Linked DNA regions of Drosophila melanogaster. The protein of the gene in region 1 interacts with the protein of each later gene in a pairwise test. Each region holds a gene or a part of one and is shown on either strand. Other genes may lie near its edges.

What was found. Proteins that work in one complex are often made in the same cells at the same time.
Region 2: the proteins of CG9098 (region 1) and p130CAS interact in a two-hybrid assay, tested with the Drosophila melanogaster proteins (2 studies listed by BioGRID).

The regions. Positions count from the first base shown.
Region 1 is NT_033779.5:6,006,765-6,014,111, forward strand, and holds CG9098 (uncharacterized protein), read right to left. Parts: upstream 5,575-7,347; 5' UTR 5,473-5,574; coding exon 5,415-5,472; intron 5,348-5,414; coding exon 5,222-5,347; intron 5,172-5,221; coding exon 5,019-5,171; intron 4,963-5,018; coding exon 4,791-4,962; intron 4,470-4,790; exon of another isoform or gene 4,201-4,469; intron 3,907-4,200; coding exon 3,549-3,906; intron 3,477-3,548; coding exon 2,481-3,476; intron 2,426-2,480; coding exon 1,991-2,425; intron 1,739-1,990; coding exon 1,332-1,738; intron 1,274-1,331; coding exon 1,144-1,273; 3' UTR 600-1,143; downstream 1-599. Other genes in the region: H2.0 (homeodomain protein 2.0), read right to left, coding at 6,491-6,733, 6,836-7,332.
Region 2 is NT_037436.4:150,970-155,904, reverse strand, and holds the start of p130CAS (p130CAS), read right to left. Parts: upstream 3,022-4,935; 5' UTR 2,835-3,021; coding exon 2,601-2,834; intron 1-2,600. Other genes in the region: Dic61B (dynein intermediate chain at 61B), read left to right, coding at 3,508-3,564, 3,633-3,782, 3,836-4,057, 4,115-4,935.

The DNA of each region.
Region 1 (7,347 bases):
GCTCCACTCGGATGGGTGGACCAGAATACACAACCGATCGCCAGTGCCGACGGGAGCACAATGTCAGGGTAATGGCTGGTGGGCAGTGGACAGTGAGTTTGAGTTATGGTTTGGATGGCCAGCCTTGGGAACTTTGGACGCGCCTTTCCTGGTGGCCCGATAAGGCCTGTTGGTCGCCGCTGGAGTGGCTGATAGTGCTGTACATTTCGCCGGCTAATCGGTATTCGTTTTGAATTCCTCGTTGAGATATTTTCCATCCGCACAAGTGCTTTTCCAGCTTATAAGTACTCCAGAGTGCCGTAATGTTAATCGACGTGTTTGCTGATTGGGCTAATTAGGCTAAGATTTGGTTGACATTGCTTTTTCTATAAGCTATTTACGGTCCCCCTAAGTGATGTCCAATTTTTGAAAGTCATTACGAAAGTTAAAAATATAAGAATCTTAAAAATACCCGTAGGGGTCTTTTACTTGATTTTAATACTTAATAATAATAATAATAATCATAACCTTTGTGTTGAAAATATGAATTTAATGCGAAGTAAAGTCTGCAAGCATTGTAAACCAGAGGTCGGAAACCTCTAAAGAGATAACATTCATTTGGGTTTAAGTAGTTTCTTTATTGTTATCATTATCTTTACATATACAAAATTGCAAAAATTATGCATTCATTGCGTTATGCCTATATCATTTTGTGAGAGAGTATGTTTGCTTACGATGTTTTTTGTTTTTTTTTTTTTTTTGATTAATGTATATTGTCTCTTCTATAGTCGAGTAAGTTATTGCATAGAATAAATAATGGGATTGGTAAGTAAATACAAGACTTTGGTAGTACATCAGAGTGAGGTGGCTCTTAAAGAGTTTTTCCATAAAAATATGATAACTAGTTCGTTTTGCATACGCGTACAATACTAAATTTAACTTAACTAAGGATTAAACGGTATTTGAACTGTAACATAAAGTGCTTTTGTGTTTCTGCTGAAATGATATATGTATACTCAGGCTGAGGTAGAGACAGCACGAAATTTAAAGATGCGGAGGGTCTGGAGACATTGTGGATAGTAGATAGGAGGTCCTGGCATAGGTTCGCTTTAAGTTAGTTCATTTGATATCGGCCAGAAACTTAAGTCCATATTATTTCACAGCTTACTGCTCGGCCATCATGCAAAACTTGTCGGCCATCAGGGTGAGCACCTTTTCCAGTTTGTTGTGCCGATCTTCGGCCTTGGCCGTTGCTCCGGAACTGCCCCATAGGAACTTGACATGGAACTCGGTTCTGTGAGGATATGGGAAACTTGAGGAAGACTCGAGAATAGTGTATTCTATCATATTACCGAAAAGCATCAGCTAGAAGCTCATCGAGCCGAGGACTAGCATCCTCCAGGATGATCTTGGCATTCTTTCGATACAGTTCCAAGTTCTTCAGGAAGCCACGCGATGCATCCAGGTGCTGGAAATTAATGGTCATGCCAAAGTCATCCGCTTTCGACTCCCAAGGAGCAATACAGGTGTGGTACAGAGCTGGGCGATCGTCAATGTTGGAGTGGTTTATGATGTCCATAACGGGTCGATCGATCAGTAGTGCATACAGCAGAACATGGGGAACGGTTGTGTTTGGAGCCTGTGGATTGGAGGCCTCGTTCATGATGCTCAACGTGGGTCGCAACTTGGCCTCGAAGGTGAAGGCGCTGTCCGTGTACTGTTGCCTCAGGATGTGCCAGGCCTGGTCGAGCTTTTGGATCTGAAAGAGGTGGTGGGACAATCGGTTATGATGTATCGCTCTAACAATGTAGCTTAATGGTTTGCAAACAAGTTGCCAAACTGCTAATTGCTCACGTGTGATTAACTGTGATAATAAAAAGATCATCTAAATCATCACTCGTTTGCTAAGCAAAAAACTGTGATGACCTAATGTACTTGTTTATACCTCTCGGCGTTAAACTAACTAAAAAGTAATTTGTTTTAGTGTACACTGCACCGAACGAGTATTCACCTGTTGCATGCACAGGCCCAACATGATGGCGCAGAATCCAAACAGATTGCCGAGAGCCGTCTTAGTTTCCACTGCGATCTGAATCCATTTACTGAGCAGTTGGGCTCGGTCCAGATCCGTTTGACAGGTGAGTATGGTCACAGCGACCATCAGCTTGATGCACTGCGTCCGCTCTATTATGTCCTCCCTAAAGACCTTTCCATGGGGCAGTGTTAGCAGCTCAAGACCCGAACAGCTCAGATAGTAGTCCTCCTCGTTCGACGGCTCCTCCAAAAACAGGGCAATGTCGATGCGAGTGATGTGCTCCGCCAGCAGCTTTGGGCCCGTCTCCAGAAGCATCATCTTGAACGTGTTGAGGGCATCGCCATCCAGGGGCTTGTTCTCCACAGATGGCAGTAGCAAAGTAACAAAGTTCTCAAAGTCAAACTTGCTTGCCTAAAAACGCAAATAAATGGTAAAATTAAGTTTTTAAAGCTAGCCTTTAACTTACTGTTTTAACTTCTTCTATGGCCATGGTGAATAGTTCTTCCTCAGCGGCCAGGACGTCGAACTCCGTGAAGCTCTTCAGCGTTCCGTTCGAGACCGAAGTGGTCATGAATCGGGGATTCTTGATTATCACACCCCGCTGTACGCTCGCCTCACATGCATCCCCTAGAGCCGAATCACCGGACCCGTTCCCCGAGTCGGATCCACTGGCCTGGTATGCCAGCACCGCTGCCATGGGTTCCTTGCGTGGCTTGGGCGGCGGACTGGGCGGCCGTGAGTCCGACGGCGAGTCCAGGCTGCAGTTTCTCGCCAGGCTCGAGATTCGGGCCACCGCTTGCTGGCGCAGAGCGTGCGCCGCCGAAGTGTTGGGTCTGGGCAGCGAGTGGGTTGTGAACTTGCTCTCCAGGTGCTGCTCACTGGTCGGATTGCACCTGGCGATTGTCTGGAAGCGCATTATTCCGTTGCCATTGCCATTCTCGAGCTCCTGCATCTGTAGTTGTTGCTCCTGAAGCTTGTTGATGTTGCTGACCAACATGGCCTGGGCCGGTGTGAGGCTCTGGGAGCGCTGTTGCTTCTTGCACGGCAGCCGCGGCGGTGGAGGCACCTCTCTACGCGCCCGCGGCGGCGAGCAGTGCGGACTGGCCGGTGAGCCAGCCATCGGCGAGAGCTGTTGCTGCTGCTGCTGCTGCGGTTCGAAGCGAAAGGTAGCGTTCATACCTGCTCCCACTGCACCATTGCTGCCCATCGGCGAGTTCAGAGGACTCAGACCTCGCAGACCGGCCAGCATCTGCGTGTGCAGTTGGTTGCCCACGATCTTGTGGCCGTAGAAGGAGAGCGGATAGGTGCGATTGCAGGGAAACTGAATGAGCGCTCCCGATGCTGACGAGATGGGCTTGCCGGATCCCACGTAGAAGGTAATTAGGTCGGGCACCGTATCGAAGGCATCCTCCTCAAACTGGTACTGCACACGTTCGTAAACCGTCTCCGGTTGAAGCACCAACTGCAATGCATAACCACATCAGATACTACTTGGTAAACTGGTACTCCAATGCCAAGAACAGTGCGAACCCACCTTATTAAGTACGAAGTGCAGTACAGCCGCTTTGCTCCGGCAACTGAGCACATAGTTGTCCGGCTGGGAGGCGCAGTCGCGGACCAGGAAGTCGCCTTCGCGCTGCACGATCTCCTCGGCCCGCTGGCGTGGCAGTGCGCCGTGGTACCAGGCGTGGGAACGCAGCTCCCTGGCGTCCAAACTCAGCTCCCACTCGAGCGCCTTCTTCAGGGCGATGGCCTCCTGTTGCTCGCTGGGACTGGGCTGGGCGGTGGCCAGCGGAGTGGTGGCATTGCTGCTCCCATAGCCCTCCATCCTGCTGTCTTCGATGGCCCAATGGGGACTGTTGCACTTGGAGCGCGGCCTCAGTTCCTCGTAGCTGTCAATGGAAAGACGAATGAGTGAGTAAATTTCCCTTATTTTGGGTAATTTTATAGTATCATAGGCCATTCCTCCCACAGGCGGCTTTGGGGAAATTTGCTCCCACAGGATTTGGTCCTTGGTATATGGACAACTCACTATATGTGTGAAGTTCAAGTGCAAAAAAAGAAGAAATCAAATTGCAGACCTAATGTTTTGCCATAATGAACTGAATGGAACTTCAAAAAACTTATATACCAACTAAAAGGATTTAGTTTTTTTAGGAAATCGACTTGCCTCTGTTATCACTCACCTGCTACGCCCATTTTGTAGTAGAAAATTTAGGACAGGACACACCCAAACCCAATTGTTCAGTAGTACGAAAGAACTCGATTCACCAGCTGCCTGAATAATACGATTTCTAAACAAAACTCTCCATTTGAAAATAGATAGACTTCACTAGCACAGAACTAGTCTCGAAAAAAAAAGGAGTGCAGTTTAAGGTCCTTCGTATTGTAGTAGTCTGAACTCCCTGCCGCTCGAATCTACTCTGAAAAGTTCACGGCAAAGGACTCGAGTGCGGTGCACTTTTGGGGGTTGGACACCGATTTCTGTGCACCACGCTACTCCGCGCAGTTTGTTTTGGGTTTTGTTGGAAAACTCTAAGGACGCCCGAAGTCACTTTTTTGGGAAATTCGCGGAGCATGCGCAGAGTCTATGTTATGATTGTCCATTGAGGGTAAAAAGAAATCTTGTGGATGTTGTGGAGGATGTTGAATATTTTAGTTTTAAAACTCCAACATGCCGGATGTGGTATACTTTTGCAACTATTATTAGCATAATATAATAGCATGGAAAATTTAAGAAGATTTTGAAGGGTTGAATTCTGAAATGCACACTTACATGGTGGAAGTCTCATCAAAGGTTAGTTGCTTCAGGACCTTGCCACTCTTGGTGGTAATCACGCCGGGTCCGCTATCGCCGCTTCCCGCCATATCTTGAGGATTCTCACCCAGATACACCAATGGACAGGAGTTCTTGCGCCGTGGCACTGCTCGCGGCGCACTGCTCATTGCTAGACAAGATACGAGTAGATAACTCAGTGGGGGGAACTACGTTTCACTGGCTTACCTTCCAGATTCATGGACTGCCTTCGCTTGGCACGAACACCCAGCAAACTGTTGACCATCCGCTGGCGATGGGCACCGCGCACGCCAAATTGCTTCAGCTCCTTGTCCGTGATGTCCACCACATCGTCCACGGTGCTGAACTCCTGTAGGTTTCCTGGTTAACATAACATACAGTCTCAATTGGGAACTGCTGATCATGCAAACCTTCGTACTGCTGCAGCTCCAGAAGGTCCAGCCACTCGCTTATGCTCATCCTAGAGTTGTGCACCATTACGGCCAAATCTTCGCGACGACGCACTGTGTTCGAGTACCGAAAGTTCCACAAAATGCCTACGAAGCGGTTACGAAATGTGTGATCATTATGATCAGAATCGGAAACCGTATTTTCGCCACTCACTGCTCCTCCGATTCGGCACTTGGCGGTTCTCCAGTTGTCGGGCTTGGGTGTTGCCCATGTTGCCCAGGCTATCTTTGCAAATCCAATGTGCAGATCTGAAAGATCTTTAAATTCTGGAGCAGTACCAAACACCTAAGCTGAAACTCAACCGCGCACTTCGCTTTGGGAAAAACAACTGAACGTGAGCAAATGTTGCCCAAACAGACTTCTTCAACTGAGCTGAAATTGCATATGTCATTCACCGACTGTTAAATACCCTAAAGGAATTACGCATATAATTATAAATCATATATGAACGTAAGATTGCAGCTAAAGTATGAGTAATATATATTTATTGTTTCTATTCTATTCTCTATTTAGTAATGTTCTTTAAATTCAGCTATAAATCGTTGTTATTTTTTTATAGTTTTCTATAATTTCAGCGGAGTCTTAAAGTAATTGAAAAAATGAACGAACTCAGCCAAAGAGACCGACAATGACAATAAAGCCCAAGTGAGTAAGATTTCAATGTCGTGCACCAACAATTTACCCTCACTGTTTTTCTAATTAGTGCTCTATATCCGCAGTGCCCCCTCCTCTCACTCCCCTGTCGCGATCCACCAACCGATCCGATCGTATTGGATAAACCCATTCGCACCCCCGCGCTTGACCAACTCACTCCAGTCGTATTTGCTCTGGCCATTCAGTCGCGTATCGTCTTTTATCGTTCACTTGATTAGAGAAGGTCTCCCCGTTGTCGCCGAGTTTCATATTCTGCTGATCGCAGCGGTATTTGCTTAATTAAAATTTCTGTTCTTGCCGCGTAGCATTGCGTATTTTTATAGCTTCATTCTATGGAATAGTGAATAATAAATTAATAATAAACCAAGCTGTGAATTCACAAGTTCATTTTACTAGAGAATTTATTTTAAATAGTTTACACATAAACGTTTAGATTATCTTACAGATTGAAATAATTTAAGTTCACTTTGTGCAGTATCTGTCTACTTTACATTACATTACAACTAGCAATGAAGGAATAAATACATCTACATGGCATTTTACACGTGTAAACGGAGCTATCTACATAGGCGGCTCTACTCCACCACATTGATTTCAATATTATCATCTTCGTCGGCCTGCTCGCTCAAATCCACACTGGAGCAGCTATCGGAACTGTAGTCGAGTGCCTCCTGGGGCGTACCATCACCGGATGGCGTGGATGTCTTGAAGACACCTCCGGATTCGGGTACTGCACTCGGCTGCTTCTCCTGGCCACTCTTCAGATTCTCGCGCGTGTGCCGCCACTTCATGCGACGGTTCTGGAACCACACCTTGACCTAATCAGGGTATAAAAATAATAATATATTGGTTTTTATAGAGCTATGAAAGGAGTCGAATGTGCAAATGTTAAACTATGAAAATCCCATCTTTTAACTAACCTGAGCGTCGGTGAGATTCAGTCGTGCCGCCAGCTTGCGGCGATCTGGCTTGGTGATGTACTTCTGCTGCTGGAACTGAATCTCCAGGCCCTTGCGCTGCAGATTCGAGAAGACGGCGCGAGACCAGGATCGCTTGCGCTTCCCATTGCTTCCGGCTGAGGCGTTGCCCTGGCCATTGCCACCTCCATGTCCATGTGCACCGTTCTGGGATGTGGCAGCGGCGGCGGCGGCGGGCGAGGTGGGCGCTATGTCCAGGAGCTGCTGCGGCGTCTTGCCCAGAAATCGCTGCTGCTGTTGCGTCAGCTGGAGGCTCGTGAGGCTGTGGAGCGGCGCCAGTAGCGCCGAGGCTGTCGTCGAGTTGTGTGGCGGGGGCTTGTGCTGCTGATGGAGGTGTTTGGGATGGTGCTGATGATGATGATGCTGCTGGTGCTGCTGCTTCTGATGTTGATGGAAGCGGAGGAGCGCATTGGTAGCCAGCGTGGGATAAGTGGGTGCGGCTGTTCGGGAATGGA
Region 2 (4,935 bases), on another chromosome or scaffold:
GAATTTGGGATGTGAAAAATTCATAGTATTCATAGATCGATGATAATCTCAAAATGACGATGCTTTCGGTTTAAGACATACACATTAAGTTTATCGGAATTTACTCAATACGTATATACAGCCTATCCAAAAATACACATTTTCCCCACCTCTAGAAACTTCTCAATAAATCTCGGCTGCTCTGCATTTCCATAATTTAAGAGCAATTTATTGAATGCCGCAACGCTTTAGTCTGCCCAGGAAAAGCTGTCCCCAAACTGCATAAATTATTTTAAGTTCAGAGGAGTGGGAAACCGGGCGACTAGAATGAGTGGATATATCTCTTCGAGACACCAATAATCATATACATATTTGCCATGTGCAGCACGAATGTTGCAAAAGAAGATATATCCAGTGCTGGGACTGGAAAAATATTTACGTCAACAGGGTTAAGTGATTTTTGAAACCGCGTGTGATTTCATGATTTTTCTTGGACTTGCCAATTTAAGTCCTATAAAACTTAAGGAGTTATTTAATCAAAAACCATTTTCGCATGAAAACGTAGTTCTTAAAACTGAGGATGCACAATGTTATTTTTGTGTGCATATAACAGATAGTTTCGCTACCGTCACGTTACCAAAGAATATGTCTTAGCAGGGAAAAGAACGCGGTGAATAAAGCCACCGCTGGAAACACACAAATAATTATACTCATTCTCAGACAACAAATTGAGGAATTTTCAACACGTACACTTAAATTCTTCACTTTTCAGCGCACGTTTTTCCCGGCTTTCCACTTTCTTTATTGTTGTTTATTCTGTGTTGGTTATAGATACTGTCTTTTCTTTTTGTGCTGCTTTTAACCGCCGCTGGATTAACGATTGATGCATAATGGCAGAGCTCATAATTTAAATGCAAGAACAAAATATGTTGGCGCCTATGACGGCCACCAGTGAACTAACTGTGAACTACTGCGAACTCAAACTCTTCCTCTGTGCATTTCAATTCCCAGCCACGAATGAAGTGGTTCCGAGGCTCAATGACCGGTCCGCTTCACCAGCTAAAAGCACTTTGGCTCAACTTGCCAATTGTCATTGAATAAATTCATAAATCATTAGAGCGCCGCTTACAAAATCCGTGGTACACAATTCTCCAAAGTGCCATTTGTAATAATAAAATGTGCCAGCAAAAATTTTAAATTGTGTACAGGCAGCCACAGTAGCCAGATAAAAGACATCAAAACGTTGATTAGGGGCTTTTTGCAATTTAAATATATATTAATATATATCAATATCGTCATAAAATGATTTAGAATTACGAACTTCTGCTTTAACAGTTTTTTTTTGGGGCCATTTTCAATGCATCCCATTATCATGACAGATCAGATCAGAAGAATCTTCCCTTCCTTTGTACTTGACAAAACATTGTTCGCGGCTCGTCAGGACACCAAAGATTGATTAAACCCTCCAGATGTTTCCGAGCAACTTGCTCTTGGAGCACGGCACTCGGAAAAATTCAGCAAAAAGTGCTCTCAGTAACCAAACATGTTGCTTAAGGAAAAGAACGAAGCGTGGTTCGGTGGCGGGAAAAAGAACAGAGAACAACCACCCCGGTGAGGTTTAATTGCGGAAAGTTCATACCCCCGGCAAGGTCGATAGCAGTTCTCATATTGGCATTGAAAAATCGTATAGCAACTTTCGCGAGCAAATAAAATTGAAAGCATACATACATACATATATACAAGGGTAGAACTGACAGCGAAATCAAAAGATACATTTCTGAATCGGTAGCTGGTCAAGTACCACATCATTGAAGTTGGCAGCTTAACTTTAGCACCTCACTTAAGCATCCAATGCCTCCCCAGGCGAATTTGTTTCACATCATGGAGCGTCTGATGAATGACGCGACGCACAGAAGCCACCACCACCTGACGACCCTTACTCTCCACGGGAATCAGTCAGCCAGCAGCCTTAGCCAGATCCCTGACTTTTGCTTCGTCACGACTCGAGGTCCACCCTGCCCTATCTTCCTGCCGAATATGTTTACATAACATGGGCACATCGCCCGATTCTCTCTGCACGCATGCGGCCTCCATGAAGCTGCATTTAGGCCCGATGGTCCTGTAGCCATTTAGCCACTTAGCCGTCCCAGCTTGGTTAGCCGGCAGAAACAGTATTACAGCGTTAGTTTACGTTACGCACCCTGCGTATCCATAATCTGTATGTATCTGTGTAGCTTCGCTGAGTAAAATTCGTTTTTGCACTCGCGTCGAACCAGGCAATGGCGTGTGGAAGAGGGTCGTTCGATGAATTTGGCTGTAACAGATTTTACTTGCCGAAATGTAGTAAATGTAAAAAATAGTAAGAGTTTGTTACACCTGTACAGAGCACAAAAGTTTTTAACGGAACGATTTGAGATACCGAAAAACAATATGAATGATTTGAATTATCCATGGACAAATATATAAATCCAGTTTCCCCACCGATTAAGCGCACCTAGTTGGCAGTCAATATCAATTCCTGTCAAATAGGTTTACCTCCAATAAGCATCGCGATCACATCGCTTTACTTCGATCCACTTCCTCGGATACTATCCATTTAATTTATAACATTCTGGACGTACCTGCGCACTTTTTGCCCGATGCAGTGTGCCGCCCGTGATGGAGTTCGCCGTGGTCGTCTTGGCGTGCATTGCCACTGAATTTATAACGTACTGCGGCGGCTGTTGCGGTTCTTTCAGCTGTCGCTGCTGATGCTTGGCCAAAACCGATGAGGTTTGGGATTCGGGCAGAGTATGGTACGTTGCAACATTACTAATTGAGTTTTCTGGTACTCGGTTTTCACTTTGACACTCCATTAATTGTTAGCTCTTGTTAGGTTAGATGCCTTTTAGATTTTGATGCTGCCGCAAGTTTTTTTCATATCAGGAGCGTACCAAAAAATAAGCAGACCTACATTGAGAAATCGAATCTCTACACATTGGAATACATCCCAAACAAAAGCACGATTACGGACGCGAGTGTGAACCAGGTTTGCATGGCTGGCGACTCCGAATCTAACTAACTCAACCATATGCAACCTCAAAAGGCAGCCGGTCGTCCTTCGCCCACAGAGGGTGGCTTGGTTGACAACTTTATTTCGGTATTATCTAACGAGCAGGCGCAGGGGGAGCTCGGTAAAAAACGCTCACGGAAACGGAGAGTAAGAGAGTGCTCCTGTTAAGTAGCACAAAGCCCTTTCGTTACCGTACGGTAAAAATTCGTGGTATTCGGAGTTTTTAAACTTCAAATTTAATATTACACAATATTAATTTTTTAAATTGATTTCCAAGCATTTCAGTTTTTGATTACATTTTAAATCTTTAAAGAAAGATAAGTACACTATGAAACTAATGTTTGGTAAAAAAAAGTTATATCAGCAGTTAAAACATATGTATTACCAGAAACCAGTGCCCTCAAAATAATAAAATAACAAAATACTCATTAAAAATTTGGACGAAATCAAGAGGAGTACATAACAAAATACAAGTCATGTCCGCGTCAGTAAGAAATACAGTCACTAGCCAAGAAAATGGGAGTATCTTTAAAGTAAGTAATTACTGGAAGATCTAATTTGCACTTCTTACATAGAACACCGTTCCCCACGCGTCAAAAAGCGGTCCAGTAACTTAGACAACGAACTCAAAAAGAAGTCCGTGGTGGTTAATCAGACACAAGCCGAAGAGTCTAAGGCTAAGAAGAAAGATACTACGCACTATTACAGTGTGGAAACACTTGCCGACCTGCAGTATCGATCTCAGATAAAGGTGAACCCAAAGGACTTACAAACTCACCACCACTAATTGCAAACTCCCCTTAGGTTTTGGAAAAGATCTATGGCGAGGAGGTTGATATGACACCTAAGTCGATCCAAGATGACACCTATGTGGAGCAGTTCATGAAGTACAACCTAAATGTCATGCACCAAATGACTAACTTCACTACAATGGTAGCGAAGAGCACGACCAGATCCCGCACGCGGTCTAGTGTTCGGGCCGGAATAGGCGGCAATAAGCAGTCCATTGACGACCTGATGAACGGGGTAAGTTTATATAAACTTTTTTGTATCATCCCAGCGGGAATCGTCATTCTCCACTAGATACTTTATGAAACTATTAACTGGGAACCGTACAGCACTGTTGAGGCTCTCGAAGAGGCGTACGAGCCAAAGCCGTATACCAAGTCCTTTTTAAAGATCACCTTACGCAAGTCTGACTTCTTCGAAATTCACAGCCAGACGCAGACGACGGTGGCCAAGGGATCGCCCGAGGGCGACGATGCGGAGCGAGACAACCGAAACTACGAGTATCTGACAATAGGGAAAGGCAAAATTCGCCGGCGCTCAGACAATGACGCTCAGACAGATACTCTGCTCTTCACCACTCGGGCAGTCAACACCATCCTCATAACCAAGGCCACCGTCAGCTCTTACGTTTCCAACTTTGAGATGTACGACACGCTGAACAATATCACCAAGGAGTTCGCAACAGCCACTATGAGTTCGGTAAAGGACCTGACCTCGGCTCTAGCGCAGACGGAGGATGCGGATACCTTTGAGGACGACGAGGCCGTTGCCGAAAAAGACAAGGTCAGCAGCCAGATAGAGCGCCTGTTCCGGAGCCCCGAGTTTCGCAACGCCATCATGTACATGGGCCGCACGCTCTCGAGCAACACAAACGAGGCGGGGTTACGACGCTTCCGTAACTTTGACCAGGTGGAACGCTGGAACGCGGAGGCCGAGTACGTCTACTCGATGAACTTGCTCTTTCGGCTGGTACCGGAGCCCAGCAAAGACGAGCGCAAGGCCGTAAGCGACATTGATTTCTGCCGCAGCAATGGTGACATCCTGGCTGTAGCCTACGGACTGTACTCATTTTCCTCACAGCACGTACCGACCTCCGGCAGCGTTTTCCTGTGGAG